7 linked regions of the Bombyx mori genome follow. The protein of the gene in region 1 binds, or shares a complex with, the protein of each later gene. Links are inferred from orthologs where the notes say so. Each region holds a gene or a part of one and is shown on either strand. Other genes may lie near its edges. The genes, in order: mediator of RNA polymerase II transcription subunit 23, mediator of RNA polymerase II transcription subunit 25, mediator of RNA polymerase II transcription subunit 31, mediator of RNA polymerase II transcription subunit 19, mediator of RNA polymerase II transcription subunit 8, mediator of RNA polymerase II transcription subunit 4 and mediator of RNA polymerase II transcription subunit 20.

What was found.
Region 2: mediator of RNA polymerase II transcription subunit 23 (region 1) and mediator of RNA polymerase II transcription subunit 25 share a complex: the UniProt entries of both Homo sapiens proteins name them as parts of the mediator complex. The link is inferred for Bombyx mori from reciprocal best matches to the Homo sapiens genes MED23 and MED25.
Region 3: mediator of RNA polymerase II transcription subunit 23 (region 1) and mediator of RNA polymerase II transcription subunit 31 share a complex: the UniProt entries of both Homo sapiens proteins name them as parts of the mediator complex. The link is inferred for Bombyx mori from reciprocal best matches to the Homo sapiens genes MED23 and MED31.
Region 4: mediator of RNA polymerase II transcription subunit 23 (region 1) and mediator of RNA polymerase II transcription subunit 19 share a complex: the UniProt entries of both Homo sapiens proteins name them as parts of the mediator complex. The link is inferred for Bombyx mori from reciprocal best matches to the Homo sapiens genes MED23 and MED19.
Region 5: mediator of RNA polymerase II transcription subunit 23 (region 1) and mediator of RNA polymerase II transcription subunit 8 share a complex: the UniProt entries of both Homo sapiens proteins name them as parts of the mediator complex. The link is inferred for Bombyx mori from reciprocal best matches to the Homo sapiens genes MED23 and MED8.
Region 6: mediator of RNA polymerase II transcription subunit 23 (region 1) and mediator of RNA polymerase II transcription subunit 4 share a complex: the UniProt entries of both Homo sapiens proteins name them as parts of the mediator complex. The link is inferred for Bombyx mori from reciprocal best matches to the Homo sapiens genes MED23 and MED4.
Region 7: mediator of RNA polymerase II transcription subunit 23 (region 1) and mediator of RNA polymerase II transcription subunit 20 share a complex: the UniProt entries of both Homo sapiens proteins name them as parts of the mediator complex. The link is inferred for Bombyx mori from reciprocal best matches to the Homo sapiens genes MED23 and MED20.

The regions. Positions count from the first base shown.
Region 1 is NC_085107.1:8,842,374-8,846,582, reverse strand, and holds the start of mediator of RNA polymerase II transcription subunit 23, read left to right. Parts: upstream 1-1,381; 5' UTR 1,382-2,062; coding exon 2,063-2,185; intron 2,186-4,209. UniProt on the Homo sapiens protein: Required for transcriptional activation subsequent to the assembly of the pre-initiation complex. Component of the Mediator complex, a coactivator involved in the regulated transcription of nearly all RNA polymerase II-dependent genes.
Region 2 is NC_085126.1:7,899,648-7,903,243, reverse strand, and holds part of mediator of RNA polymerase II transcription subunit 25, read left to right. Parts: intron 1-728; coding exon 729-902; intron 903-1,294; coding exon 1,295-1,492; intron 1,493-2,525; coding exon 2,526-2,669; intron 2,670-3,527; coding exon 3,528-3,596. UniProt on the Homo sapiens protein: Component of the Mediator complex, a coactivator involved in the regulated transcription of nearly all RNA polymerase II-dependent genes.
Region 3 is NC_085122.1:5,746,450-5,750,747, reverse strand, and holds the start of mediator of RNA polymerase II transcription subunit 31, read left to right. Parts: upstream 1-1,455; 5' UTR 1,456-1,766; coding exon 1,767-1,782; intron 1,783-1,858; coding exon 1,859-1,948; intron 1,949-2,330; coding exon 2,331-2,500; intron 2,501-3,504; coding exon 3,505-3,651; 3' UTR 3,652-3,676; exon of another isoform or gene 3,677-4,298. UniProt on the Homo sapiens protein: Component of the Mediator complex, a coactivator involved in the regulated transcription of nearly all RNA polymerase II-dependent genes.
Region 4 is NC_085116.1:16,053,045-16,057,220, reverse strand, and holds the start of mediator of RNA polymerase II transcription subunit 19, read left to right. Parts: upstream 1-1,287; 5' UTR 1,288-1,812; coding exon 1,813-1,993; intron 1,994-2,079; coding exon 2,080-2,451; intron 2,452-2,972; coding exon 2,973-3,133; 3' UTR 3,134-4,176. UniProt on the Homo sapiens protein: Component of the Mediator complex, a coactivator involved in the regulated transcription of nearly all RNA polymerase II-dependent genes.
Region 5 is NC_085118.1:10,646,238-10,650,420, reverse strand, and holds the start of mediator of RNA polymerase II transcription subunit 8, read left to right. Parts: upstream 1-1,364; 5' UTR 1,365-2,065; coding exon 2,066-2,239; intron 2,240-2,543; coding exon 2,544-2,789; intron 2,790-3,376; coding exon 3,377-3,473; intron 3,474-4,183. Other genes in the region: uncharacterized protein LOC134199859, read right to left, coding at 1-1,052. UniProt on the Homo sapiens protein: Component of the Mediator complex, a coactivator involved in the regulated transcription of nearly all RNA polymerase II-dependent genes.
Region 6 is NC_085112.1:8,189,531-8,193,850, reverse strand, and holds mediator of RNA polymerase II transcription subunit 4, read left to right. Parts: upstream 1-1,468; 5' UTR 1,469-1,724; coding exon 1,725-1,792; intron 1,793-1,865; coding exon 1,866-2,046; intron 2,047-2,185; coding exon 2,186-2,337; intron 2,338-2,784; coding exon 2,785-2,963; intron 2,964-3,511; coding exon 3,512-3,687; 3' UTR 3,688-3,855; downstream 3,856-4,320. UniProt on the Homo sapiens protein: Component of the Mediator complex, a coactivator involved in the regulated transcription of nearly all RNA polymerase II-dependent genes.
Region 7 is NC_085134.1:1,812,554-1,816,926, reverse strand, and holds the start of mediator of RNA polymerase II transcription subunit 20, read left to right. Parts: upstream 1-1,486; 5' UTR 1,487-1,522; coding exon 1,523-1,656; intron 1,657-4,253; exon of another isoform or gene 4,254-4,373. UniProt on the Homo sapiens protein: Component of the Mediator complex, a coactivator involved in the regulated transcription of nearly all RNA polymerase II-dependent genes.

The sequences.
Region 1 (4,209 bases):
ACAGCAATATGCAACTGTGAATCCGAGGAAGGTACTGTGGATCATATATCCTTCAACTGTATCCTTAACAATAAGTGTGATCCTCTATATACTTTATCAACAAACATAATCCCCCTCCCCATCAACATGAACTTCCTATTAACTTTCCCCACTAAAACGGTAGTCTACTTGCTTGGATCTTTCATAAACGCTAATAGTATAAAATTGTAGTTCCTACTAACTGTTTAATGCAAAAAAAATTAAACTAAATAGGTCTTAGCATAATTATGTTGAGATATAGCACTAGCTGCGTGTCGCCGCACTAGTAATGTTGACTTGTTACCATGGATACATTCTCTACTTAATAAGATTGTGTCATGTGAATAAAATATAATTTGTGATATTAAAAAACCGAGTCTGCTTATTCTTCCACATAAAATCTTAACAAATTATGTTGATACCTCCACTACCCGACGTTGGCAAAGTTGTATTTAAATCTAAGTAACAAAAGCCAGAAAGAAAGAAAAAGAAAACTATTTAAGTCAACTAAATAGTGACGTTGCACCGACACATGTGTAATATATTTATTAAATAATCTTCTGATGATATGTGCTATAAACAAGGATTTTCTCCGTATAACATAAGAAGCTTTAAAATTTGATCGTCAGATAATTTCTTCACCATTTTTAAGTAATTTATTCGCCCCAGTAATCCGCAAAAACAACCAACACGTGCTTACTGTGTCAGCACTGGAATGGCACTGGATCCAGGTGCACTGGATTGGTCGCACTGAATTCAAAAGTAGACCGCCAATCCAGTTACTGGACTGGAATGCTAACTGGATTCAGTGCATCCAGTGCCAGTTTACATTTTTCCAGTAAGCAATCCAGTGCTGGATTCGATCACTGGACTGGAATAGTGTAAACCGGGAATTATTTTATACAAAGAGTAAAGTTCAAACTTTTTTTTAAGGGATTTTATGACCCGGTGACTAAGACTTTTAAGTCATGTCTTATTTTAATTTTTTTTTTGAATTCTTATTTTTATGAAAAATAATGAAATGAAATGAAGATTATTTGTTTGAGACATGAATCAACTTGGATGAAATCAAATGAAGTGAGATGAGATGATATGGGATGAAATATAATCTCAGTAAAATGGTGCTAATTTACTGAGATTTTTTCAGTGGACTTTTTAGATGATCCCAAGAAGTAACGTCCAGCGGCTTTGTTTCATTTTCCCACATTTGTGCACTTTCATAGATATTAAACAGTTAATAAACCACCATTATTACATATTTAAACCCGAAGAAACACTAAATAGACAAAATAAAACAAATGACACAACTTCACTCCTCGCGTTCCCGCCAAAAAGTCCATTTCAAACTTTATTGTCCATTTTTTTTTTTTTTAAGAGATTTTATGACCTGGTAACTAAGACCTTTAAGTCATGTCTTATATTCTTAATTTTATGAAAAATGATAATATGGAGTGAAATGAAATGAAGATGATTAATTTGAAACATTAATCAACTGGGATGAAATTAAATGAAATGAGATGATATGGGATGAAATATAATCGCAGTAAAATGGTGGTCATTTACTGAGATTTTTTCAGTGGACTTTTTGGAGGAACCCGAGAAGTTACGTCCAGCAGCTTTGTTTCATTTTCCCACATTTGTGCACTTTCACAGATATTAAACAGTTAATAAACCACCGTTATTACACATTTAAACCTGAAGAAACACTAAATAGACAAAATAAAACAAATCACACAACTTCACTCCTCGCGTTCCCGCCAAAAAGTCCTTTATTGTCCAGTGTCCACATTTAGCATAGATTATTCAATGCATTTAGTCATTTATTAAATTTCGCGTAGTGATGGTTTAAGTATCCCAGTTTTTACTTGTTAACGTTGGCATGTAAATTTAAGAAGAACATAATTCCTAACAGCTGCATTTGTAATTAAAATTTCTTTCTTGAGTTAACTTCTTCCGTCAAAGATCTTATACATAATTATTATTCTGAAAGACATGTACCGATAACTTTGTAACCTTTCGGTGTTTTGTTGAAAGCGTAGTTTGGATGCTCCAGTGCTTAGCTAGTTTTTTGTATAAAGGTGACCGTCAATCCAAGCGCATGTTCGAGGAAAATATAATCACGGAAATGGCCGATTCGCAAGTCGCCAACATAGTGAATGAAATATTGGTAAATATATTTTTCTTGGTTAATAATATATTGGTAAATATAAAGGTAAACGTTCTACTGTGCCCTGCATCTGTGAAAATAATAGGTACTGACAAAAAAATTACTCACATGATCATCTACATTAATTATGAACAAAATGTTGTTTACTATTGTTTGTTTTTCATGAATAAAACCTACAAATAATCGAACTTGTTTCTTAGTTGCAAACATGGACTCATGAGCTGATGGTAAGTTGTACTTCGAGATCAGAGGTTTTATGAATAAAAATTAATTTCATCTCATTCATTACGCGCTGAATATGTACTGTTCTGCGTTTATTAATATTTGTGTCCACGTGCTTATTGTATGTAGCTGGCTTGATGTGAAGGTTGATTGCTTCATTTATGTTTAGGTTTAAAGCATCTAGCGTGTTTACAATGTGTAATAAATTTAGTCTAACATGGAACGTAAGGACTAAGTATCAAATGAATAAAAAAGCAATTATGTTATGAAAATAACAGAATATTTCAAATTTCATTAAAACTATGGAATTGTCAACTCTATTTTACTGTTGCCAAGTTAACCTTATGCATTTGTTTCAGTTTTTAAGATAAATTAATATCTCAAATATTTGTTTTATTCTGAATTAAACTTTGACCGATGGGCTAGATTTATCACAGAATGTAAATTGTACATAGCACTGTAGCAAATGATAAAATTTGTAAAGGGATTAAACTAGAAACCTTGTTTTTTAATCAACTAAGACATCTTAAAGTATAAAACTATTGATAAATAAAATTTGCAGTGTCAGAACACCAAACTGTGAATTGGCAGCAATATTAAATAAAACATATTAATAGTACATTCAGTATATTGAAATAATATTTAAAATGCTGTTTGAAAATCTTTTACAAACTTCTTACAATAAAAAAACAATGAATGAGAATATTAAAATAGCTTTTTTAAATTACTCAGTTTAGAATTTTTAGTCTTATTTAATATTTAAGCATAATTTGCATTATGAACACATTTTCGTTTTTGCAAATTTTGTATATTCTTGAAACCTCTGATGTTCTTGAAATATTTTATGTGCTTATAATTGATGTATATGTTTGTGTTATGTAAGTGTTGTATACAGTTTTCATAAAAGTACTGAAAAATGTAAACAATTCTAAATTAGTGATCATCCTTGTTAACCTTCATGAAATAACATAAATTTAAAAAGGTCAATTATTTTAATTCAGCAGTAAAAAAATTTAAATATATTTGTTGTTTCCTTAATTGGTAACAAAAATTATCTAACTTATTTTTATATATATTGTTTACAGTTATCTGCACGTTTATTTAAACAGTACTTGTCTTGTCTCAAAACTTGCAGCTTTTTACTGATAAAAACTGTAAATCAATAAAAAATGTAACAATATTTTACAAACAGTATTAAGTAACTATTATAAATACATAAATAGATAAATTTACCAAACACATAAATAGATTATATAAATACATAAATAAATTACCTATTTTCATTCTTACTGTTATCAAATTCAAACATTAAAATTACTGGTCATAATTTAAGTCAATTTTGGGTCCTTTCATTTACCAACAATTTTCAATTATTTTAGAAGTGTGATTAAGAAATTTGCATCTGGGCATTATAATATCTTCCCATACTGTGTCCCCTACATTATTAGAGATTGGCAACAATTAAAGTTCTCCTATATGCTCAAGAGACAAATGGAAATTAATTACAGTAACTAAAGCGCTCATTTCTCCATTGTTGTGTCCTTAGTGAAAATAGCCTTTATAGATATTTTAATTATGTTACATTACATATTAACATACATAATCACTCGAGTTGTGAATTTATAGAATAACAGTGGAAAAAATAAGACACTTCCATATAATGAAATTGGAAAAGGGGTTTAAGATCAATATCAGCTGTATGTGACTTGGTGATTTGGGACACATGTGTTCTACTACCATCTCAGATACAAGCCCCTCTAATGTTCCTGCTTCTGATGATTAGAGGCTTTTGGGTGTCAATC
Region 2 (3,596 bases), on another chromosome or scaffold:
CAGTTTAAAGGAACTGCTATAGTTCGATTTTTTACGTGAGATCAAAACAATTCAAATGCGTTATGCGTCATTAGGCGACAACGAACGACTAACCGAGACGGGCGCGGAGCGAGACGCGGCGACCCGAATGACTATCGTATAACAACAAGATCCCACTAAACGTTCAACTACTACCTGTTCATAGATTTAAGAAAACTGTTAAGGAACGTTTGTGCAACAAGGCATATTATAAAGTTAAGGATTATTTACTAGATGGCACTACGTGGGAATGAGGCGCTTGCTCCTGGCCTTTTCATTTTTCATTATTATTATTATTATTTTTAATTGTATTTTTTTGACTTGTTTTTTCTTTTATTGTGAATATTTCTATTTATTTAAAAAAAAGAAAATATTTGAGAAAAAATAAAAAAAAAAGCCCGCTGAGTTTGTTTCGCCGGTTCTTCTCAGGACTGTGGCTTTTTTTGGAACCGGTGGTAGAGTTAACATTGTTATTTGTATTTTGACATTCAACAAGTGTGTCATACTGACATCTAAGTTGAAATAAATGATTTTGAATTTGAATTTGAATATAGTTCTTTTCTTCTGATTCGTAGGTTTCGTTAAACGAGTCGATTTAGTGAACGACTAATATTTTTTGAAGTAACCCGTTATCGTTCGCGCGGATTTTGAGAGACCCGGGTGGTTTGATTCATTCGTTCGCGAACGACACATATCTACATTATAATTAGCAGTGTGCACCTCACCAGAGGATGCCGGGCATGATGGCGGCGACTCCTTCGACCAGCAACACGCAGCAACCCCAGCTGCAGAGGAGCTACATCTGGAGCGGCGTCATCGAGCTCATGGAGAAGGGTAAGGCGCCGGGAGATCAGCAGAAGACAACCAAACTTCTACCTTGTCAAGTGAGTTGCAATGTTCCGGGTTCAATTCTATTGCCTGCTCAGACATAACGATCTGGACGCGCCTAGCCCGGGATTGTAAGGCAAACCAGTACAAATATCCTTTTTTTTGCTTAGATGGGTGGACAAGCTCACAGCCCACCTGGTGTTAAGTAGTTACTGGAGCCCATAGACAACTACAACGTAAATGCGCCACCCACCTTGAGATACAAGTTCTAAGGTCTCAGTATAGTTACAAAGGCTGCCCCACCATTCAAACCGAAACACATTACTGCTTCACGGCAAAAATAGGCAGGGTGGTGGTACCTACCCGTGCAGACTCACAAGAGGTCCTACCACCAGTGAAATCTATACTCATCATTGACGTAATTAACACGATTTACGATATACTATAGGTATCGACAACTTCAAAAGACATAGAACCCGAATTGAAAGCGGACACGTGGCCGAGTAAGCTCTTAATGCAGTTGATGCCGAAGCAATTGATCAGCAACATCGGAGGACAGTATCTCAAGGACAGCAAGTCAGTACTGTTCCACCTTCAGCCGAGCGAAGCCCTCGACCATTTAACCAACGTTATGGTCAACGGGTATGTGAGTATTACAATTTTTTTTCTACTTTAGTAAATAGTTTTTTTTTTTTTTTCATATAGAACAAAGCAAAGTTAACGTACTATCAGTGGGATTTAGAAGTTGTATTCCATGCCTGTATGTAGATGGTCGTCTAAATAAACTTTACAATTTAATTAATTTGGACAGGGTAAAACAGTATTTGTTTGATATTGAAAGCGTTATTTTTGTGAAATTTATGTAATCCAATATGTAGCTACTATTAATTGTTATGAACCACTTCGCTTGCCACTATTGCTACCTTTTAAGGTTGTAGTTTTATTTGATAAAACGCTGATGTCAGATCGAAGGCTTTAAAATGTTTACCCTTAAATAGTCATGTCATGGTGTTTTTTGGTTCCAATGGGAGTCAAAAAGTCACATAACATAAATAAATAAAAAGGTTTTTTTTACTTTCCTACCTATTCTAGTTACCTCGAGGGGTTATACTAGATTCACAGAACTAATAGGTGAGCTCACGGGGCTCTAACCGCTCTGACCGCTTTATTTCCAAACGAATATTCTATCTATCTATATATTTAAAAATGAATTGCTGTTCGTTAGTCTCGCTAAAACTCGAGAAGGGCTGGACCGAATTGGGTAATTTTGGTCTTGGATTATTCGTGGAAGTCCAGAGAAGGGTAAAAAAACTTGGAATTCTATAAAAGCAAACAATTTTGTTTTCCCTTTGATGTGTCCCCTTGATGTGTCTTTTATTTATCTATTAAGGGTACTGCGAAGTCTGCGTGGTCAGCTAGTCTGTAATAGATATTTGTAGTGGAAATGGCACACTACTTTCCTTAACTACACAGCTTACAATTTATAAATAAACACAACTAAGTAATATATTTATGATTAAAATTAGTCCACTGGAAATGTATAGTTATAAGGGTGTGTGTGTGTGTGTGTGTATGTGGAGTGTTTGTTTGCTGTATGTCCTACACTCTTGTATGTATTAAGCGGTGTATGCTTTTTTTGCTTCACGTATTGGAATTAAATAATACGTTTTTGGTTTCAGGCTGGCTGCGTACACTTCAATCCAATATCGTCGCCGCCTCAATGTGACATAAAAGTGCTAATGTTATTGTACACGCCCGACAAAAAGGCTTATTTGGGATTCATTCCTAATAACCAAGTCGCGTTCGTCGACAGACTTAGAAGTGTAAGCATTTTTACTGTGTTATATATCACTTGATGAAATGTTTAAGAATAATCAACGTCAAACATTATATTTGAAGTGGGAGTTCAAATTGTATTTTTGTAGAAAGCAAATTCTGGAAAAAAAAGGGTGCGTGTACTTATGTACGCGCGTAAGAAGTTACACTTTATTTTTAGTAAATTTATTTCTTTTTTTTTAATTTAAATTTTAATCAATTTGAAAAAAAATCGATTAAACAACATCCTCAAACACGCATATTGGACATCCCTTTTCTTGACATCGTATAAATTCATATAAAAAATATTCAGGCTCGCCAAGTTACGTCGGTCGTATTGTAATGAGCGATTTAGTGGGCAACTTCATTCTGTTAATTTTGTGTCACGGTGCGCGCATCGTAAAATTTCACTCTCATCAATTTTTCATAAAGCGCCTAAAGAAGTATAACTTCAAAAATCAATATCGGAATATTTTGATTACTTTGCTTGAGAAGTACTAATACAATTGAAATTTTGATCACGTGTTCCAAGTTAATATTTAGTAATCGCGTCTGACAAAAAAGCTTAGAATATGAATTTGGAGAATTACAGCAAATTAATGTAGAATTTTTTACTGGTGGTAGGACCTCTTGTGAGTCCGCGCGGTTAGGTACCACCGCCCTGCCTAATTCTGCCGTGAAGCAGTAATGCGTTTCGGTTTGAAGGGTGGGGCAGCAATACTGAGACCTTGAACTCATATCTCAAGGTGGGTGGCGCATTTACGTTGTAGTTGTCTATGGGCTCCAGTAACCACTTAACACCAGGTGGGCTGTGAGCTCGTCCACCCAACTAAGCAATAAAACAATAAAAACCATCTTTCGACCAGGTCATCCAACAGCAGAAGATAACGCAGCAGATAATCAACAAGCAGCATCCGGCGACGGTCAGCGCGGCC
Region 3 (4,298 bases), on another chromosome or scaffold:
AAGTAGGTTTATATTAAATAATAACATTAAACTATAATTTTGATTTATTTTCCCTGTTATATAATTATTCTGATTTTTTTTGTAAATTCAATTCGTTCTAAATCATTTATGTTTTGTTGCGATAAGTTTCCTTCGTTTTTTATTATTTATAAACTGTAAATAAATAAAACGGCGAATTATAAAAACGTTATTACTTGACGCTGGCTAATGCACAAAACGTGCCAGAGCCAAAAATAAAGAAGAAGAAGAAGAACTGCGTTTATACCATAGAGTTACTACTTATTAACTCCATGGTTTATACATATATTAAGTGTATAATCTATGGTTTATACTGTCTAATTATTTCATAAGTGGATCAAAAAAATATTGAAAACTTCAACAATAATTCAACAAAAAAATGTCGGTGAAGAGTGAAGACGGTCAATTAGTCGTTAAAGTACAATTAGCGTGGTTTTCAGTTCAGTTATTTTTAATGATACTATTCATTACCATGCAATAGGAGATAGTTAAGATACTTGTATTTTATAATAAAATTAATAATTCCTAAATTCATACTTAGTTCAAAAAATGTAAATATAATGCACACAAAATCTGTTTTTGTTGAAATGATAATTATTTATAAGTTCAAGAAATATATTGCAGGGACATTTAGTAGAAATTCATTTAATATAGAAGAATAAACTTAGTATATATACTTATACTCTATAAACAGGATTTTTTAAGAATAATTATATCTATTTGATATATATAATAATATTATAATAATGATATTAAGTATAAATGAAGCTGATTAATACGAAACATGGCATGAAATGAAATGAGATGAGATGATATGGAATGAAATATAATTTCAGTAAAATGGTGGTTATTTATTGAGACTTTTTCTGTGGACTTGTTGGAGGATCCCGAGAAGTTATGTTCAGCGGCTATATTTTATTTTCCCACATTTGTGCACTTTTACAGATATTAAACAGTTAATAAACCAGCTCTATTAAACATTTAAACCAGATTTTTTTTAAGGGATGTTATGACCTGTTAACTAAGACCTTTAAGTTATATTTTATTTTAATTTATATTCTTATTTTTATGAAAAATTATAATATGGAGTGAAATGAAATGAAGATGATTAATTTGAGAAATTAATCAACTGGGATGAAATTAAATGGAATGAGATAATATGGGATGAAATATAATCTCAGTAAAATGGTGATCATTTACTGTGGTTTGTTCAGTGGACTTTTTGGAGGAACCCATTTAAACTTGAAGAAACATTAAATAGACAAAATAAAACAAATCACACAACTTCACTCATCGCGTTCCCGCCAAAAAGTTTAGGTATAGTACCTTTAGGCCAAATATTAAGCCTAAGTAGGATGATGATCATAGTCATAGACTAACTTAATGTGTAGTGTAGTATTGCTCGTATATATTAAGTGTATAATCTATGTATATTAAGTGTATAATCTATGTAGTATTGTGTAGTTGTGTTACGTTGTGTAGGACTCGGAAAAAAATATATACACAAATTTATTTATGTGATTTAATTAATTTAAAAATTTTAAGAGCTTACTAAGTACTGTGTAACATTTTAGTAATGATAAAATCTTAAATATCACATATTTATATAAGGATAAAATGAACTGTCTTGTGTAACCTGAAAATATGTTATTATTTTGGTCATAGATTTGTTGAGACGTACACCACTGACCAACTTGTTTAATTTTGAATAATTTAAATACTCCAGCTGCATATATTTCGGGTTCAAAATGATGGCTGGAAAAGGTAAGAAAGAATGAAATAATTTTATTTAACAGTTTGTTATTTCATGATAAATTAATAATCTTTAATTTAATTGCAGTAATGCCAGAAACTGAAGAGCAGAATCGAATAAGATTTCAAGTGGAACTTGAATTTGTGCAGTGCTTAGCAAATCCAAATTACATTCACTGTAAGTTGCCTTTTTGGTTTTTGTTGTTAGACTTCACACTCACCTGGTATACAATGATTACTAGAGTACATAGACATCATAATGTAAATGTTGCCACTTGAACTTATGCAGGCTAATGCTGCTCACTGCATACATACACTTATGGAAACTTATAATGATAACTTAATGTGATGACTGATCTGAAGCTATCAAGTTGGTCATCAAATCATCACAAGAGGGAAATAAGTAATAAATTGTTAGGTATTTTTCATACCGGTTTAATGATTTTGTTATTGTGACTTAGTTTCTAATCGTCTATTTTGTGATTAAATGTTTTTCTGCCCAGTGTTTTTAAATGTTATGTGTAATGGATGTCAATTATGTCAACTCTGTCTATTTACAGTTTTGGCACAGCGAGGTTATCTTAAAGAACAAACTTTTGTAAACTATCTTAAATATTTGCAATATTGGAGAGAGCCAGAATATGCTAGATATTTGAAGTATCCCATGTGTTTGCATTTTTTGGAGTTATTACAACATGAAGCATTTAGAAGAGAATGTGTATCGGCACAAGTGAGTACAAATTGCACCTACTAAATTATTTTCCATATAATCTTTGCTTGAGCGGTAGATAATGCCATAGGTTTTAAGTCCGCTGATAAACATTCTTCTTCTTCTTCTCTGTCGTTTCCTCATTGCTGAGGGTCGTGACCACCTTGGTCCAGTTTTTGAAGTAGTGTTTATATGAAGGTTTGTTGTGGCCTGAAGGCTTATCGCTCAGGCTGACCTGACGCATTCATATCAAGCGATACAAAGGTGTTCAGATCCTGCAGGCAGGTTCCAATTATTATAATGAGATACATACTAAACAAATGTTCACTATTGACTTCCACAGTTAAGGAATAACACCATCTAGTAAAAGAATCAAACTTGCGAAATTATAATTTGTGTAGTTACTGGTTGTAGGATGTCTTGTGAGTCCGCAGGGGTAGGTACCTCTACCCTGCCTATTTCTACAGTGAAGTAGTAATGTGTTTCGGTTTGATGGGTGGGGCAGCCATTGTATTTTTTTTTGTTTAGGCATTTACTTTGTACATGTCTATGGGCTCAGGTAACAACTTAACACTACTTGGCCTTTTTTTTTTCTGATATAGTTTTATGATTTATAGGTTTCACAGTATGATGTTTATGGGCTTAAAACCAAAACAGAGCTTGACTTACAAATCAACAGTAAAAAAAATATGCAAATGAAATTGAGCTAGTTTGAATGTAAGAATATAAATTTGGTAATTGTTAATGACCACGTACAAGTTACTGCAAAAGTCATATTATTATAATTTATTGGCTTTTATTTACCACCTCATTAGTAGCTGTGCTTTATTCTTGTACTCTACCAAATATAAAATTTATGACTGTGCCAAACTGGCCCTTGACCAAATACCGCTTTTAATTTTATCCGATAGCAGTATAATTTGTATGTATTACAATTTTTAAATAAAGCCTGTGTTTAGATCACTCTGATGGATAGGTACTGTTCAAAATATCTTCATTAATGAATGATTAATATTTTCCTTAAGGTTTGCAAATTCATGGACGATCAAGCAATATTGCTATGGCAACATTATACTCGTCGGCGTACACGCACGTTACAACCGCCGGACGCACCGGCGCTTCCTGCGCCGCCCGCACCGCCACAACAAGGTCCACCAAGACAACAAACTTAGGATGTTCATGATTGTTGTTTTAGAAGTGAGTGGAAAATAAAATAAACTTTTTATAAATCTATACTTAATAAATAAATCTACAGTGGTTTTTATGGATGTTCCGTTATAACTACTGAACCATGCATCCGATTGACTTGAACTTGTTATCCATGTAGAAAATACATGTACATAATGGATAGGCTAATTATATGAGTGTTGGACTCCCTACACCAGTTGCGGGGGCGTTAATGATGTGAATCTTTGTGGGGGTGAGAAATAATAATGTTAATTTTAAATGCCCAGTGAAGCGGACGGGTACAGATAGTAGTGTATAATAATGTTAAAAAAATATTGGGCATGTCCTCTAGTAGGATGTCCCACCGGGGGACAAAGATCTCCCTCTAAATTATCTAAATGGGTGTTAATGAAACCTCTTTGTTATGTTATAAAAATAATTTGGCTGATATTAAAATATTTGTTCTGTGTAGTAGTAAAATATACGTAGTCTTACTCATAAAAAATATATTTAATTACTTGAAATGGGCACTGAACGTTTTTCAAAACGAATTTTATTTGATTGAACATAAACAAATCCTTTGTATAATAACCGGCAAACTTCTTGAGCATTTGTTGACGTAGTGGGGGTAAGTTTGCGCATGGTACACTCA
Region 4 (4,176 bases), on another chromosome or scaffold:
AGAAAAAATCTTGATATTATATTGCTTTCACGGCAAAAATTTTAGTGACTACTTAACTTGCTTGAAAGTGAAGAAATACTCTCAAAATCCATTAATTTGCAACTCGCACTCGCACATACAATAATCGAGAGGCTCACTTCGGTAAAGCTATTTGATACATGAGACAGCAACATAAACAAACCTTCTCTCTCCCACAAAATGAGATTCATAAGCTTACCACTAGGTGGCACTGATACAACCTCACACAAAATAAACATAACATTAACATCGACTGAGTAATTAAAAAAACTTGCACTAAGCACAGGTACATTACCCATTACCCGACTAATTATAAATATCGTTAGAAAGCTTGGCATTTCAATTAAACGCCTTAAAAAAAACCTTGCGTGCTACCAATATAAAAGAAAAAAATATCGCTTTTCAAAATGAATAAACGTCCTGCAAATCAAGTAACTCGCACTCAGAGCTCCGCACGTTTCACCGTGAAGAGCGTACACTCGATGCGAGTCATTCGATTCGATTTTTGAAACTCGCACTAAGCCTACGGACGTCTTATAGTTTAAGCCAGGACGACTTAAACAAAAAAAAAAGCCTAAGCATTTGTTTCAATAAGAATGTTTGATTTTTTTACTGCTTCAAAGTTTGAATGAGCTCATGCTTTCTTGTTTAGTGGATTTTTTAAAGATTGTATGACCTGTTACCGAGACCTTTTGTTGGACGGTTAAATTTGAGAGGACTGGGTTCTGTAGGTGAGGGGCTATTTAAAAACACTCTGCTTCATGGTTAATATATAACACCATTACAATATTTTATTTTATAAAACCCTAAGATGTTGCATAGTCCGTGTCTAGAAGAGAAGCCATTGTCCTCACTCAAGAGAAGACTCATCTGTTTTAAATATTTAAATAAGCATTTCAATATTCGAAAACTGTAACCTTACATGTGTCAAGTGTTACCTGCCATTACTTACATATTCAAACTCCAACACCATTGGACCAGTTTTAAAGTGTTTTCAAAGCTCATAGACATCACAATTCATTTTCCATACAAAATTATCACGGAAGCTCCAAGTGCTTATGTGTCAGAACTATAATAGACTATTTCAACTAATTCAAAACAAGTCTATTTTAATTAGACAGTTGCTATTTTAATTTGAGAATTGCTAGTATTTAATTTAAATATAAATTTCTTGAGAACCAACAAAACCATGTACCTATTGTTATGATTTTCTTTAAATAACAATATTAGAGTCTGTGGGAGTTACAAAGCTAGTGTTGCAACAGGACTTTTTGGCGGGAACGTGAGGAGTGAAGTTGTGTGATTTGTTTTATTTTGTCTATTTAGTGTTTCTTCGGGTTTAAATGTGTAATAATGGTGGTTTATTAAGTGTTTAATATCTGTGAAAGTGCGCAAATGTGGAAAAATGAAACAAAGCCGCTGGACGTAACTTCTCGGGATCCTCCAAAAAGTCCACTGAAAAAATCTTAGTAAATGACCACCATTTTACTGAGATTATATTTCATCCCATTTCATTTCATTTAATTTCATCCCGTTGATTAATATCTCAAATTAGTCGTCTTCATTATTTCACTCCATAATATTATTTTTCATAAAAATTGAATATAAATTAAAATAAGACATGACTTAAAGGTCTCAGTTCCCTTAAAAAAAAAGTGTTGCAACATTGTTCCTACTTTTATTTTTTAGAGTTGTCAAAAGCTTGGGAGTAGGGAAGGTCTTTTTAATTTTTTGTGATTTTGTTTAGAGTATTTAATTTATTTAAGTTCGTTTCGTAGATAATGGTCATCCAAGATGATGTCTGATCAGTTTAGGAAAGTAGAACCATATTCGCCAAAATCGTCGCCGAGGGGTGCGAGGTCACCAGTCGTCTCTCGCCAAGATTCTTCTGGTACACTCAAAACTACTATATCCTTAGGCAAAAACCCGTCTATAGTGCACAGCGGACCATTCTATTTGATGAAAGAACCCCCGGGTCAGTATCTCCAACTCTTTAACATTCTCTTCTCAAATTCTTAAATAATTATATTCAGGAAGTGACTTCGACGATTTCTTTTACAGGAGAATGTGAACTGACAGGCGCTACAAATTTAATGGCCTACTATGGACTTGTACATTCTTACAGTAAGTTTAATGGCAAAAAGCTGAAGGAATCCCTATCATCTTTCCTTCCGAACCTGCCGGGCATCGTTGACGGACCTGGGCAGGACGATAACAGTACTCTAAGTTCAGTTATAGCTAAGAGACCAATTGGTGGTAAAGAATTACTGCCATTAACTAGTGCTCAGTTGGCAGGTTTTCGATTACACCCTGGCCCACTTCCTGAGCAGTACAGATATGTGAGTGCAACACCACCAAAGCGACATAAAAGCAAACATAAGAAACATAAGCATAAAGATGGTGCACCTCCTGGGCAAGAGACACCTTTACAAGGTAAGAACTCAGAACTCAACAACATTGATTTAATAGATTTAGCTATGTCCCAAGCTTGTAGACAATATTACAAATTAGCCACCTGTAGATGCTATTTAGGTCTAGGTGAGTCTTCCAGGCACTTTGACTACATTAATCTAGTTAAGACAGTATTTGAATTGCAGTGTAATTGTACTCTGCATTTTACATTTTGTGGTACTAACCCGTGCGGGCTCAGAAGACACCCTATCAATTATTTTTAGTGAGTCTGTTTACAACACTGTCCTTCACTGTGGAAGTCAATTGTGAACATTTGTCAAGTACATATTTCATAAGGAAAAATGGTACTTATCTGCGGGATTCCAACACTAACACAGTCGCATCACTCAATATGAATGCACCAGGCGTCTTATTCTTTAGGCCACAATGATTTCATTTAACTTTAGATGTCAAGTGATACTTTTTAAATTGCTTTATAAGTTATATTATTTATACTCCATTTTTGTCTTGAGTTTTAATATAAAACATATCTATTATTCTAGATTCATCAAATCCAGACACATATGAGAAAAAGCATAAGAAGCAAAAACGTCATGACGATGAGAAAGAACGAAAGAAGAGAAAAAAAGAGAAAAAGAGAAAAAAGCAAAAACACAGCCCTGAGCATGGAGGCCTTACACCAAACCAACATCCATTACCGTAAATATAAGTGTACAAGTAGGTTTAAGTCGAATAATGAGCCCAAAGAGAGTATTGTACTAAAGATGACTAAAAATTAGTAATTCATTGTGTTCTAGTGATATTCCATTACTAGTGAAATGTACCTCTACACTTTGTTGTGCATATGACTAAATGTATGAACGGCACTCATTTGTTGAAACTACACGTGCTATCTATCATAAGTTGATTGTAATACGATGGAATGTTGTTAACATTTCATTAAAGTGGAAAGTTTTCCTCAATTGGTTGAATGGTATAATAACACAAGAAGAATAACATACAATTGGTTGTGGCCTAAAGGATAAGACGTCTGGTGCATTCGTGTTAAGCGATGCACTGGTGTTCGAATCCCAGGCAAGTACCAATTCTTTTAATGAAATACATACTTGACAAATGTTCACGATTGACATCCACAGTGAAGGAATAACATTGTAATAAAAGTCAAACCTGCAAAATTATAATTTGCGTCATTACTGGTGGTAGGACCTCTTGTGAGTCCGCATGAGTAGCTACTACCAGCCCGCCTATTTCTGCCGAAGTAATAAGTTTCGGTTTGAAGAATGGGGCAGCTGTTGTAACTATACTTGAGACCATTGCATTTATGTTACATCCACCCATCTAAGCAATAAAATAAAAAAAAGAGTAGATTTATCTGAATCTATATTTCTTCATTATTCAATGGGGTGTATATGTCCATAAAATGAAGAAAAAACGAAGTTTTTTATCACATTTTAAACCATAATAAGAAAAATGAGGTTTGCAAGACTTTTGTTTTTATGAAATACCTAAAATTGCTAGTCAGGCAATGTTTTAAACTTATAGCTAATTTATTATCTTTACTTCATAGTAATTACTTTTGATTCTGAACTTAAGATTTCTAGTAACTTCTACTTGGCTTTCAACAGGTTCGATTGCATGGTAGATTTAATAAGATTTTGTTATGCTAAGTTACCTAATAGAGTTAAAATGCCATGATGGCAAGCAACATTGTGTTAAGTTGACCACTTTGAAAGAATAATCACATCA
Region 5 (4,183 bases), on another chromosome or scaffold:
TTGCAGTAGGAGCACACTGGACGCTGTTTCTTCGTGGTCACGAATTGCTCTGCAGAACCTGGCACAGCAGCGGCAGGCGTGGCAACGGTAGGCTGGGCGACAGCGACAGGCACAGCGGTGGCGGGCACGACGGCCGCGGCGGAGTTTGGAAAGCGCGCGCGCGGCGCCGGGGCACTCGCACGAGCGGCGCACGGTTCAGGCCGACTCGCAGCCTGGGCCGGCTGGGCACGGATCGAACGCACACCACTAGTGGACGACACTGGTCTCGATTGAGTCTCCTCTATCGAATCTTCTATATTCCGAGCATGGTTTAATAATGAATTGAAAGATGTGATTTCTTCACGGCGCAATCTTGTGCGTATTCTATTATGAAGCAACCCGTATATCATATCAAGTTGTACTTTTTCAGCAATATCATCCCGCGGTAGCTTTGCCATAAGCGCACGAATACGAGCAACAAACTTGTCTGTGTTTTCTTTATCCTGCGGGGAAACAAATATTTCCAAATATATTCTATGTGGTGGAAGGCGGGTGCCATATGCATATATTAAATTTTCTTTGGCTTCGTTCCAAGTGGAGATGTGATGCTTTAATCCTAGCCACCACGTAGCTGCGTCAGCAGACAAAAGCATGGCTAGGCCTCGTATGATGTTAGCGTCAGATACTTGAACGCATTCTGTATAACTTTCAATTGCATCTATAAAGGCCTCAACAGATTCACCAGGTGCACCGCTGAAAGAAGCTCTGCAACGCGCCAAGGTACCATCTACGTTCACTGGGGGCATCGGCGGAGGTGCCGGAGTCGACGATCTTTGTTCCATCACGTACGACATAATGTTCTTAAATGTTTCGGCCTGCGAACGTTGCAGCGAGGCCATCAACGCTGAAACATCATCCAAGTTGAACGTAGAATTGTTGCTACGTGATTCGGCGTGGGGGCGATCATGGGGGCTATCATGCTCCTCGTGATTTTCGTTGGCATTTGCATCTGCAGCAGGAATAACGTCGTCTTCGCGACGTTGCTGGCGATCTTGACTTCTAGTTAAAGGCATTCTTTACAATTAAGCACCAACAGCATACAATAGTTAGCAAATTTTTCACAAAAGCGTGCGCGCCATTTTGTTAGTCCAAGCAAGAAAAAAATTAGGAAACGTTGGGCAGCCAGATATAGTGAGGGGTAGATCTCAGGGGTATTTAAAACTATGGGTTAGTCACCAATATCGAATTTCGAATTTTAATCTTCCTTTATAACAAACAATTTTCAATTTTTAAACAATAATTACATTTAGACGCGGGCGCACGCTATTCACACTCAAAACGGAAGCGCCCGGAACATAGATTATACACTGTTACAAGATTGACATAGATACTAACTATGTATAGCGAGCGGGCATACGGCCGCGAGAGTGACGTACCGGTCGGTTTGCTACATATTTAATATTTGTTCAGAGTGGGGGTATTCATCTGATTAATCCATGGAATAACCGACACACCTAATCTCTTAATCCAGATAGAAATATCAGCACTGTCGATTGCACCTATAATTGAGGTGATGTCTGCCATGTACTTTTGTCAGTTTTTCAATTTTTTTTATTGATGATCACTTTGTTGGTGCAACTAAATAAATAAATAAATTAAAACTATATATAAAAATAAAAGTAGTGCCAACCCTAGCAAATTTCTCGTTTCGTCCCAATTAACCGCAATTTTCGGGTAAATAGGGATTACACCTATTTTTGCATTTTTTGCTTAAACTGGAATGCTAGTTGCATAATTTTAAATTAGACAACAAAGATGCCCCCAAGACTCAATCATTTTGATCCTGATTTAGCATTATATACATCAACAACTACCTTAAAATTGCTCATAAAGTTGGAATTTGTCCCTAATCGCCCCATTTTACGGTACGGTAGGTACCGTATGGTACCATTTTGAGATATATTACTTATGTACCCTTAGTCCCTTACGGTTATTTAATAGCTAGGTAAGGTACGGTACCTAAACCTTATTAAAATCTAACAAAGAGAATTAAAAAGTTACAATTGTGTACCTACCATTTACAACAATGAATATGCAGCAGCGAGAAGAAAAGCAACTAGAAGCTACAATAGTTGCGATTTTAAATAGAGTAAATGATTTAAAAACTGCAATACAAGCATTGATAAATAAACTAGAAACGGAATACGAGACAATAAATTGGCCAACTTTTCTAGATAATTACGCGATTTTATCTGGTCACGTAAGTCCAATTGTATATTGAAATTCATAGCATAAATAGTGTGTGTAATAGTCAACAAGTCTACAGAGATGGATTTCAACTTGAAGTAGGAAAGATAATTAATTTATTATTGAAAAAACAGTGAAACAAAAACTGACGAGTTCAAAACTCACTTGATGTAACCTGGTTAGCGTGGTCACTGATATTTATTAGGTATTATCCCATTTTGAGACTTGTTTTCAGATTTAAGTGCATTTGTACATAAGCTTTTCACTTTAAAGATCATGTGTTATTTAGTTAAATTTTATTAACTCTTTATTTTCAGCTGACTGGCCTCAGTAAAATTCTCCAAGCCGAACAAGCAGCTTCATTGCGGTCTAGAATTGTTTTACCACTTCAATTAAGTTGCGAACGTGATGAAACACTGGCTCATTTGACAGAAGGCAGAGTTCCAGCTTGCACTCATGATTTAGTTCCAGATTTACTTCGTACCAAACCTGAACCCCAGGCTGAACAGCGTCTCCAGCAATTTAATCATAAAGCTAGTACTTTAAGCTATGATACAGCACAGGTATAGACAATAATTAACATTTAATTTTAAATATCAGAAACATTTAAAGAAGCATAAGGTTTAATGTACCACAAGGAAAAATATCCATTATAACTATTTGGGCTAATTTTTTATGACATTCTTTGTAGACTTCGCAATCTAAATTAGTTTTCATTGTAAACGGTAAAAAAATAGATATATTTGGGGTTAAAACATGTAATGCACTGTTGAGTGAATAAACCCACAGCTCACTTGAGATATAGTGGCTGGGACCCATAGATATCACAGAGTTAAATCAACCTCTTGCTTTGAGATATTTGGTTGAAGTATGTATCAATTCTTTCTTTTTTTTGTTGTATCACTTGTCAGGGTGGTCATGGTCATCATTCAGTATCATTGCAATCATATCATCATTGAATTCTATTAAACTATGTATAATAAGTTCTTTTATATAATCAAGATTTGTCTGCAAAATTAGCATGATAATCAAGTTGAGTACTTAAGACATGCAATTATAACAAGCTCACTTTCTCATGTAATGTTGTGTAGTTGTTACCTACAATTATATAGATGGATGATGTATGGATTATAATAGTTTTATATTCCAGAAACACATTGCTCAATTCACTAAAGTTGTCAGTCACGTTTGGGAAATTATATCCAAAGGCCGCGAAGACTGGGAAGGAGAGTCAATGAGATCTACAGGTTAGTAAAAGTTACAATAGAAAATTATCATAATTACCTAAACAGTTGACAGATTTTAATAAACATTTCATTCATATTATGTAGTCCATTTTTAACTTCTAGAGGTTGAAAAAAGATGCGGGTCACTGTAGTGAAAAACAATTTGTCTTCAATAAAATTTAGACACACATGCTTATCTTATTTCACCTGACCCAAAACACATGCCCGAAGTCTCAGTTGTATGGCAGGCAGGCATCTTATAATTCAAACTGGCATGCCTGTTTTCTTCATAACAAAAATACTTATACACGTCAGTGACTCAGGATACACTCAGCTACTCACAGTTCTAGACCCCAGTCATTGGTGAATATCTACAGAAAAGACAGGTGGGATTATTCTGACCATTGTACACATATCCTAAGTTATTAGTTCATATAAGGTAGGTATGACTTTACTTTGACAAAGATGAAAGATGCCCACCAGAGATGCCCAAGATTTTGCCCACCACTTAAACAAGTATGATGATAATGCAATTTCACAATACAAGCAGTGCGATTATGGAATTCTCTCCCTCAACCTATTTGTGCTAGTTCCTCTCTAGAAGTTTCTAAGAGTCAAATGAAGAAACATTTCCTGTCACTTTAAAAAAGTGTATTTAAGTTATTGTTTTATGTATGTTTATATGTATTTTTCATTTCATATTAGTTTTTTTTTAAAGCTTAGTTTAAAAA
Region 6 (4,320 bases), on another chromosome or scaffold:
ACATATTTTTTTTATTGCTTAGATGGTTGGACGAGCTTTACGCCCCACTCGGTGTTAAGTGGTTACCGGAGTCTATAGATATGTACAACGTAAATGCCACCACCCACCTTGAGACATGAGTTTGAAGGTCTCAGTTTTAACAGTATAACGTCAGCCACACCCTTCAAACCGAAGCGCATTACTGCTTCACGGTAGCAATAGGCAGGATGGTGGTACCTACCCGTGCGGACTCACAAGACATCCTAACAACACCATTCTTTAACTCCGTATTGACTGATTATCGGAAGATATAATATGAGCATCACAGCGTGTAAGTAACCATCCATTTTGATTGAATTAAGGATTCGAAGTCTCAACTGTTTTGTCTATTATCTTGCCCTTTATACCGAAACGAATAACTGGTAGGTGGCAATAATAGGAAGCTTGGTCGTAGATACGTATCTACAACCTACGCTATACCGCCAATAATTACGAATTATAAATAAACCATAACAATCAATATCACAATCTTTCAATCCTTTTTCAGTATTCGCAAGTCTAATAATTAATAGAATAATTTTTTTTGTGCAGTGTTTCAATAATTTTGATGGAATCAGATGTCCTTTATTTTGAGAATATTTTTATTACACCAATATTGTATTTCTTCTGACAAATATTCTGAACCTGTGAAATGGTTTTTTTTTATCTAAGCTTGAGAGCTATGTCAGTGTAACTTATTAAGTAGGTGAGCTCACGGGGATCTAACCTGACGACGTTGCTAACACTAACCCTAGCAAGAGCAATACTTTGCAGAATCTACCACGGGATCGGAAACGCGACCCACTGAAAAGATCCGGCGAGAAATTCAGTGGGCTTTATTTGTGGGTTATTTTACTAGCCGAGCCTTCGTCGCAAGCGATGGGTTCAACGAGAACGATGAATGATGACCAAACGATGTTCAAATTCATGAAAGTGCACAACGGGTAGAAAAATGAAACGAAATCGCTACATGTGGTTTTTCGGAGTCTTTCAATTAACGTCTCAGGAAATAAACACGATTTTACTGAGAGATCATATCATAATAACTAGACTCTACAATACTCTACATGGGTAGGTACCAGCGTACTGTGTATTTCTGCCGCCAAGTAATCATGCATTCTGATTTAAAGGGTGGAACACACTTTATAGTGTAAAATAGAAAAGTGAAGTTAAAGTTGGGGGCAGCAATCACTTTGTGATGTCTTTAAGCTCCGGTAACTACTAATAGGCCTTGAGGTCATTCACCCATCTTCATAAGAAAAAGTAAATCATCTCATCTCGTTACCAGTAGTAAATTTTATTTTATTTCTTATAACGTAAATAGGCTACGGCCTTATAAAACAAAGTTTGTAGATATAAATTATACTGAAACTCACTTTAAAACTAGAAAAACTGTAAAAGTACGAGAATAAGTTTCTCTATATCATAGAGAAAAATATTTCAAGGCTCTACTAATTATTAGTCTGTGCTTGCTGTGGAACATAGTCTATGACTTTCACGTTTGTCGTCTGCTGTATTGGAAACATCAAACAATGTTATTATTTTTACTGTAAACATTGAATGTAGTTACCACGTACATAGTAGCGTTTTTGATACAAGAAATCCCAAGAGTCGCAGCGTTGGGGGGTCGTTTGTCCAGTTCATATGATATAAGGAAATAATACATATCGTTTATATTAAAAAAAGCTGTTAAGCTATATAGAGCTATGGCGTCACATTTAAGTACTAAAGATCGCTTATTGGCACTAATAGATGATATCGAACTTATTGCTAAGTGAGTTAAAACACGATTGAACTGTGGAAAACATTACCGATCAACTTCATGTTCTAATTCTTTAAATTTTCAGGGAAATAATAGAAGTTTCCATAGCACCAAAACCACAGAAAGTGTCCGCTGCAGATCATGCTCAGTTGACGGACCTACTTCTATCAAAACATGGAGAATTGAAAAAAACATTAGACCTAGCTGACGAACAAGCAAAGATCCAACAGAAAATGAATGAACTCAAAGCTGAAGTAGATAGTAAGGTAAATACTACAAAAGAGATTTATTTTAAGTAAAAAATGGATAAAATTTTGGAGTGGACTGACTCATCCACTGCTAGTTCACAACAATTTAAGCCACAAGCGAATTATGTAATTGAAATGTTTTTGTTGTGTTACTAAGGATCAAGATATATATCACCTTCAAAGACAATTGAAAGATGCAGAACAAATTCTGGCTACATCACTGTATCAAGCTCGACAGAAACTTGCATCAATAGTGAAGTCTAGAAAGAGACCTGTACCCTCTGAGGAGTTGATCAAATTTGCACACAGGTTAGTAAACAATTAAAGATTTCTACATTGAAATTAAATATTTTTTCTGAGTCAGGTCCTTAAAACACATGATGAGTACTCCTAAATATTGAATATTAAATATTTATGATCTCAACAGAGATTTCAAACCTGACCAATGACAACAGTGAGACAATGATAGTAGGCACATTGACTAACAAATAAATCAATGAGATGTTTAGTATATTAACAGTTGATTAAGTTTATTAATGCAAAAAGTCTGAATGGATATTAGGTATTGTGTCTGAATAGCCAACAATGTTATGAAAATAACTATCTACAGAAAACAGTTTCTTTCATAACTATAGAGTTACACTTTAATTAAATTACATTAAAAAGAATTTTTAAATATTAGACAGTACACTATTTTTGATGTGAGAACTAAATAGTACTTAAAAAAACTTTTTTTGACTTACTGATATTTTACAGAATAAGTGCATCTAATGCTGTCAGCGCACCTTTGTCGTGGCAACCTGGTGATCCTCGTCGGCCTTATCCAACTGATTTAGAAATGAGATTAGGAATGCTCGGTCGCCTCTGTGATCTGCCATTGAATGGTCACACGCCTTCTACACTGAATGAACTTCATCGTATAACAACTGGTGGAGGTATAAATGCATTACTCATTATATTAATGAATCATTCTTAGAACAAGTTGCATATGTATAGAACTCTTTGTGCAGTACATATTTATACAATTCTAGTATTGGTACTTTATCGTTATAGTTAATTTGATTCATCTACAATAAGCATGTATTATCATAGTTATTAATAGCTATGAGAGAAGTGGGTGATAGGGAACACCAAACACCTAAACTACTCAGCAAGTGCTTTGGCAGATATATCATGTTTTGGACCACTGTATTAAACTCAAATATACAAGAATAATATTTTTCAGGAAAGTTGAATTAATGATCAAATTTCTATAGGATTTGTAAAGAATAAAAAAAATCTCCTATGTTATTGCCACCTCTTTTTATTAATATTGTCAACAGAGGCTTCCTTCAAAACCCATAACCCATGGAAATTATTTAAGAATATTCTTATCATCAGAATTTTACAGAAACATTTTACCCTTTTGTTAATTGCATTAGGTAAAAAAAACATGTAAAACCATTTGCTTGTTAATCAGGTTTACTGTGTTATATTATTTCAGTACCAGCTTCAGCTTCAAGCCAATTCACTTGGCATCCATCAGGCGAGCTACACATGTCTGTTGGAGGCGGTAACTCTGTAGCTATTGATGGCCGAGGGAAGGATGCTCCCAACCAAGAAGATGTTGAAGTTATGTCCACAGACTCCAGTTCAAGTTCAAGTAGTGATTCACAATGAATACAGAAAAACCGTGGACTTCATTTTGATTAAAAGTGTAGTGCAACTCAACAAGTTAAAAAGACTGATGCTTGTGTTTATTATGAAAAAAATATTTGTAGAATTAATTCAAATGTTATTTAAATATCCTCATAGAAATGACATAATAAAAAAATTTATTCCACATAATCGTTTTGTTATATTTGAACAAAAATTTAACCTCCAAATTTATTTTTCGATATCTATGCACGCGAACTCTGCGATTAAGAGTTGGAAGTGCGAACTAGCCTGTTGACATAACCCAAACAGTTTCTCGTCAGTTCTTCTCAGTGGGTTGCGATTCTGATCCTGTAGGTTTTAACGAAACATTGCTCTTGCCAGGGCCAGTGTTGGCAAACTCTCTCAGGTGGAGCCAGTGAACTCATACACGTCCGCGCGTTCCTGGAATAGCCCCTTAGGCTACCAACGAATGGGTAGGTAAAATATATCAACGATCACGAGGCCCGATAGCACCGGAATATATTACAACTAATACTACTCATAGGAGTTGTATAAGTGTTTGGAGCTTTAAGACAACTTAGTCCGGATACTATTGCCCCTAGGATTTAGTACTTTAACATTTATTTTATTACTGGTGGAAGGTCCTCTTGTGAG
Region 7 (4,373 bases), on another chromosome or scaffold:
TCACCCATATATTTTGCGTTAAACTCCTCCTTAAGTGCTTTAATAATATCTTCCCCGTTTCCAATGATTAGGTATCGTCCACGTAAATCAGCATCCAGCAATCTTCTTTGTAATACAAACAGTAATCATATTCTGATCTTTGGAATCCGTTAGCTTTCGCAAATTCGTCAAGTGTTTCATTCCAACATTTTGGTGATTCAATCAATCCATATAATGCTCTCTTTAGTTTTAATGCTGTATTATTATTTTTTATTTCTAATCCTTGGGGTATTTTGATAAATACATCAGACTTCAATTTTCCATTTAGGAATGCAGTGGGAATGTCTAGTTGAATAATCTTTAAATCATCTTGTACAGCTTTTGATAAGATCATTCTTATGGTAGAATGTCTAGCAACGGGTGCATAAACGCTGTCAAAAATATCTTTTTTCTTTTGTTGGAAGCCTCTAGCTACCAGTCTTGCCTTTTTTGTTCCATCTTCTTTTAGTTTAAATATCCATTTTGTATCAATGAGCTTTCTTCCATCGGTTATTTCTTGTTCTTCCCACGTTTCTAGTCTTTGGAGTGCATCTAGTTCTTTATTGATTGCGTTTTTCCATTCTGGTTCTTTTATAGCTTCTTCGAAAGTTTCTGGTGCATTTGCACTCAGACATATAACAATATTAGTTTCATTTATGTTTTCTATATTCGTCTCGTAATCTTTAAGATAAGCAGGAGGATTTATCGTTCTTTTGGGTCTGATTATTGCTTCTTCAATTTGATCAGTGTTCATTTCTGCATCTTTAAATTCATCTTCCTGTTCTACAATATCTTGCTTTTCTTTATTGATTTCTTCTTCTTTGTCTTGAATATATCTAACTTGTTTCACTTCTTCTTTGTTTTTGAATTTAATGTCGCTTTCATCAAATCTTACATCTCTGGAAATAACTATTTTATCTTCTTCTGGATCCCATAATCTGTAACCAACAGTTCCATAACCTACCATTCTTGTTTCTTTTGCTCTCTTGGCAAACTTGTCCGGTTTGGGTACTATAGTAGCCCAAGCTTTGGAACCAAATACTCTCAATCTCGATATGTCGTTTTTACCAAAAAATATTCCGCTGGGTGTCTTGAAGCTTATGGCCCATGATGGCGATCTGTTTAATTGGTAAACTGCACATTGTATTGCTTCGCACCACAGATGTTTTGGCAAATTGGTTTCCGCTAATAGAGTCCTCGTTTTGTCGCATAATGTGCGGTTCATTCGTTCTGATATGCCATTAAGTTGTGGCGTGTACGGTAATGTGTATTCTAAACTAATACCTCTATTTATGCAAAAAAGTTTCAAACTGTTAGCAGTGTACTCTCCACCATTATCGCATCTAATTCTTTTAACTTTATTCCCCGTTTCGTTTTCAATTCTTAATACATAGTTCATCAGTCGTTCTGTTGCTTCAGATTTGCTCTTCAGGGGATACACTACGCAAAAATGAGAGAAATCGTCAATAATTTTCATAAAATATTTTTCACCATTAGGTCCTTGATGTCTGATCGGTCCTGCTATGTCTGTGTGAAGCATCTCGGCTGTCATTTTTGTTCTAGGCTTTGGGATAGGCGTGAACGGGCTTCGGGTGGCTTTGCCCTCCATACAAGGACTGCAAATTCTATTAGATACAGGTAAGTTTAGTATATTAAGGCTTTTCCTATTTAAGTGACCTAAACGTTTGTGCCATAGATCTGTCGCATCAGTAATATTACAGACTTCGGACTTACATAATTCGGCTTGTAGCTTATACAACTTTCCTTGCACGATGCCGCGTAAAAATGTCTTTTTATTAAATATTTTAACATTGTATTTATTAAAGTTTATGTTAAAACCTGCCTCGACAATCTTTTTTACTGATAATAAATTGTATGAAACATCTTTCACAATTAGAGCATCAATATTAATCGTAGTATTTTGATATTTTACTTTAAGTTTACCTCTTTTACTAGTTGTAATACATTGGCCGTTAGCTACGAATATTTTGACATGTTTATCTAAATACGTAATATCCGTCATATAATTTTCATATTTTTCATTTATTAAATGCTCCGTACATCCTGAGTCTATAATTAGTTCTATGTTACCACATTCACCCACATTAGCAATAATATCGCTAGCAATGAAACCTATTTCTTTATTTTCTGTGCCTGCTGCTGAAGCATGTTGATACGTTGTATGTCGTGAACTTGAATTTCCTCTAAATGAGCGTCCACACGATCTTGGATAGCTCCGTCCTCGTGTCAATGACTGTCCTCTACTCGGCGCTTGTCCTCGTCCTGATCGGCATTCGAATGATTTGTGTCCACGTTTTCCGCAGGAGTGGCACGTGATGAAGGCATTATTCTCATAACCTTCACTATTTCTGTCCATTTTTAACTTTGTCTCCATATCGAGTAGTCTTGCTTTAACAAATTCTATGTTCAGTTGTTTCTCGGAACCCATAGTCTCAATTGATGTAATTAATTGATCGTATATCTTTGGTAAAGAAGACAGCAGATAGCAAATTTGGTCTTCTACTTCGACGCTTACGTTGATTGCCGCTAATTCGCTAAGAATTCCTTCAAATTTTAGGAAAAATTGCTGTAAGTTGCTTTCATCATCATAGCACATTGTTATGAGTTTCCGTTTTAAATAAAATTTATTACAGACTGTTTTTCGTTCAAATATGGCCTCCAATGACGTTAGCATTTCTTTTGTCGTATTCGCATTTTTTACGATGTAAATATATTTGTCGCTCAGACATTGTACCAAAATTGATTTTGCTCGTGAGTCATCCTGATCCGTCGGTTTCTCTTTTAAGAATACATTGCTTAATTACTTTTCTTCCAGCAGTAATTTCAATCTAAATTTCCAATGACTAAAATTTGAATTTTCAGTCAAAATCGGCAGAAGAGACCTCGCAGTTGTCATCTTTCTTTTTTATAATTTTCGCCGATATTATTTCTAGTGGATCGCAACCCAATATATTTTTATTTACTTACTGCACACGCGGTCTGCTACCATGTTAAGATTTTATATGAAAGAATAAGCAGACTCTTTTTATTATCATCAGTTATATTTTATTCACACGACACAATCTTATTAAGTAGAGAATGTATCCATGGTAGCGAGTCAACATTACTAGTGCGGCGACACGCAGCTAGTGCTATATCTCAACATGTAAGATAAGGACTCAGTCGATACTGTTAGTAGTTTCTCGGGTTCTTTTAAAATTATCTTTGAATTCTCACCAAATTCTAACTATTTTAACTAGAGATTCTTTTATTTCATCTCATCCAAAAACTATGGTGTTGTCTGTTATCATTGCCTTTAATCTTGTCCCATTAGGTACTAATATTATAAAGAGGAAAGATTTGTTTGTTTGTTTGTTTCGAATAGACTCCGAAACTACTGGACCAATTTGAAAAATTCTTTTTCCATTAGAAGCCGACATTGTCCCTGATGAACATAGGCTAATTTTTTTTAATTTTTTTTATTTTATTTTTTTGGTTTCATGTGTGTTTTAATGTTTCCGAAGCGAAGCGAGGGCGGGTCGCTAGTTAGGTATAATTTCTAATAGATAATGTAGATTTTCCCACCGTCTAGTATCCGAACTTCTTAAAAACAGTCTGTCAAGTGTATTGGGATCCAAGCGGTTCCGCTCATCACTTGCGTTATTGCAGGCAATTGAAGCGCTCTCACAAGGTAAAGATGATGCCTCAATACTCATATACATCATGGCTCTGTTAGCACATCCCACTTCTCCTGGATGAGCCTTTGCTCGCCCACATGTCCTGGTGAAACTGGAAAGGCCTCTGGCCCACCAGTGATCCCTCATTCATAAAAGAAAAACATGGCTATTGAGTGGACGTAGTGTTAGATGGTTTTTTTTCTTCTTTTCTTGCCAGTGAAGTATGTGGTCATACTTCAGGTACACAACTGCCTGCAAATAAATAGTGTTCAATTTCTTCGTCTAAGCCTTCATTTCTCAGTGCAATAAATGTAAAAAGTTGCTTTTTCATCAGCAATTTATGAAAATCCCAAATTACTTCTTCCGTATCAGTTCGATTCCGTCGACTTCTTCACTATTATTTTGTGGAAGTTGTTCTTGTGATTTACTATCTAAAATTGAAGTATTTATTCTATTTATTGCTTGATAACAGGCTAATTGTAAATAAATTACTGGTTTTTACCAAAACCGAAAAAATCAACATCGATATTCAAGGGTCAAATATCGATGCAGTGAATCGATTCAGATTCGATTAATCGATCTCAGATAGGCACCCCTGTCTATTACTAATATTAAATTGCAAGCCCTCTGCCTGCCCACTGCCATAGCGACTAAAATAATTTAATAATCTGTGCTTTG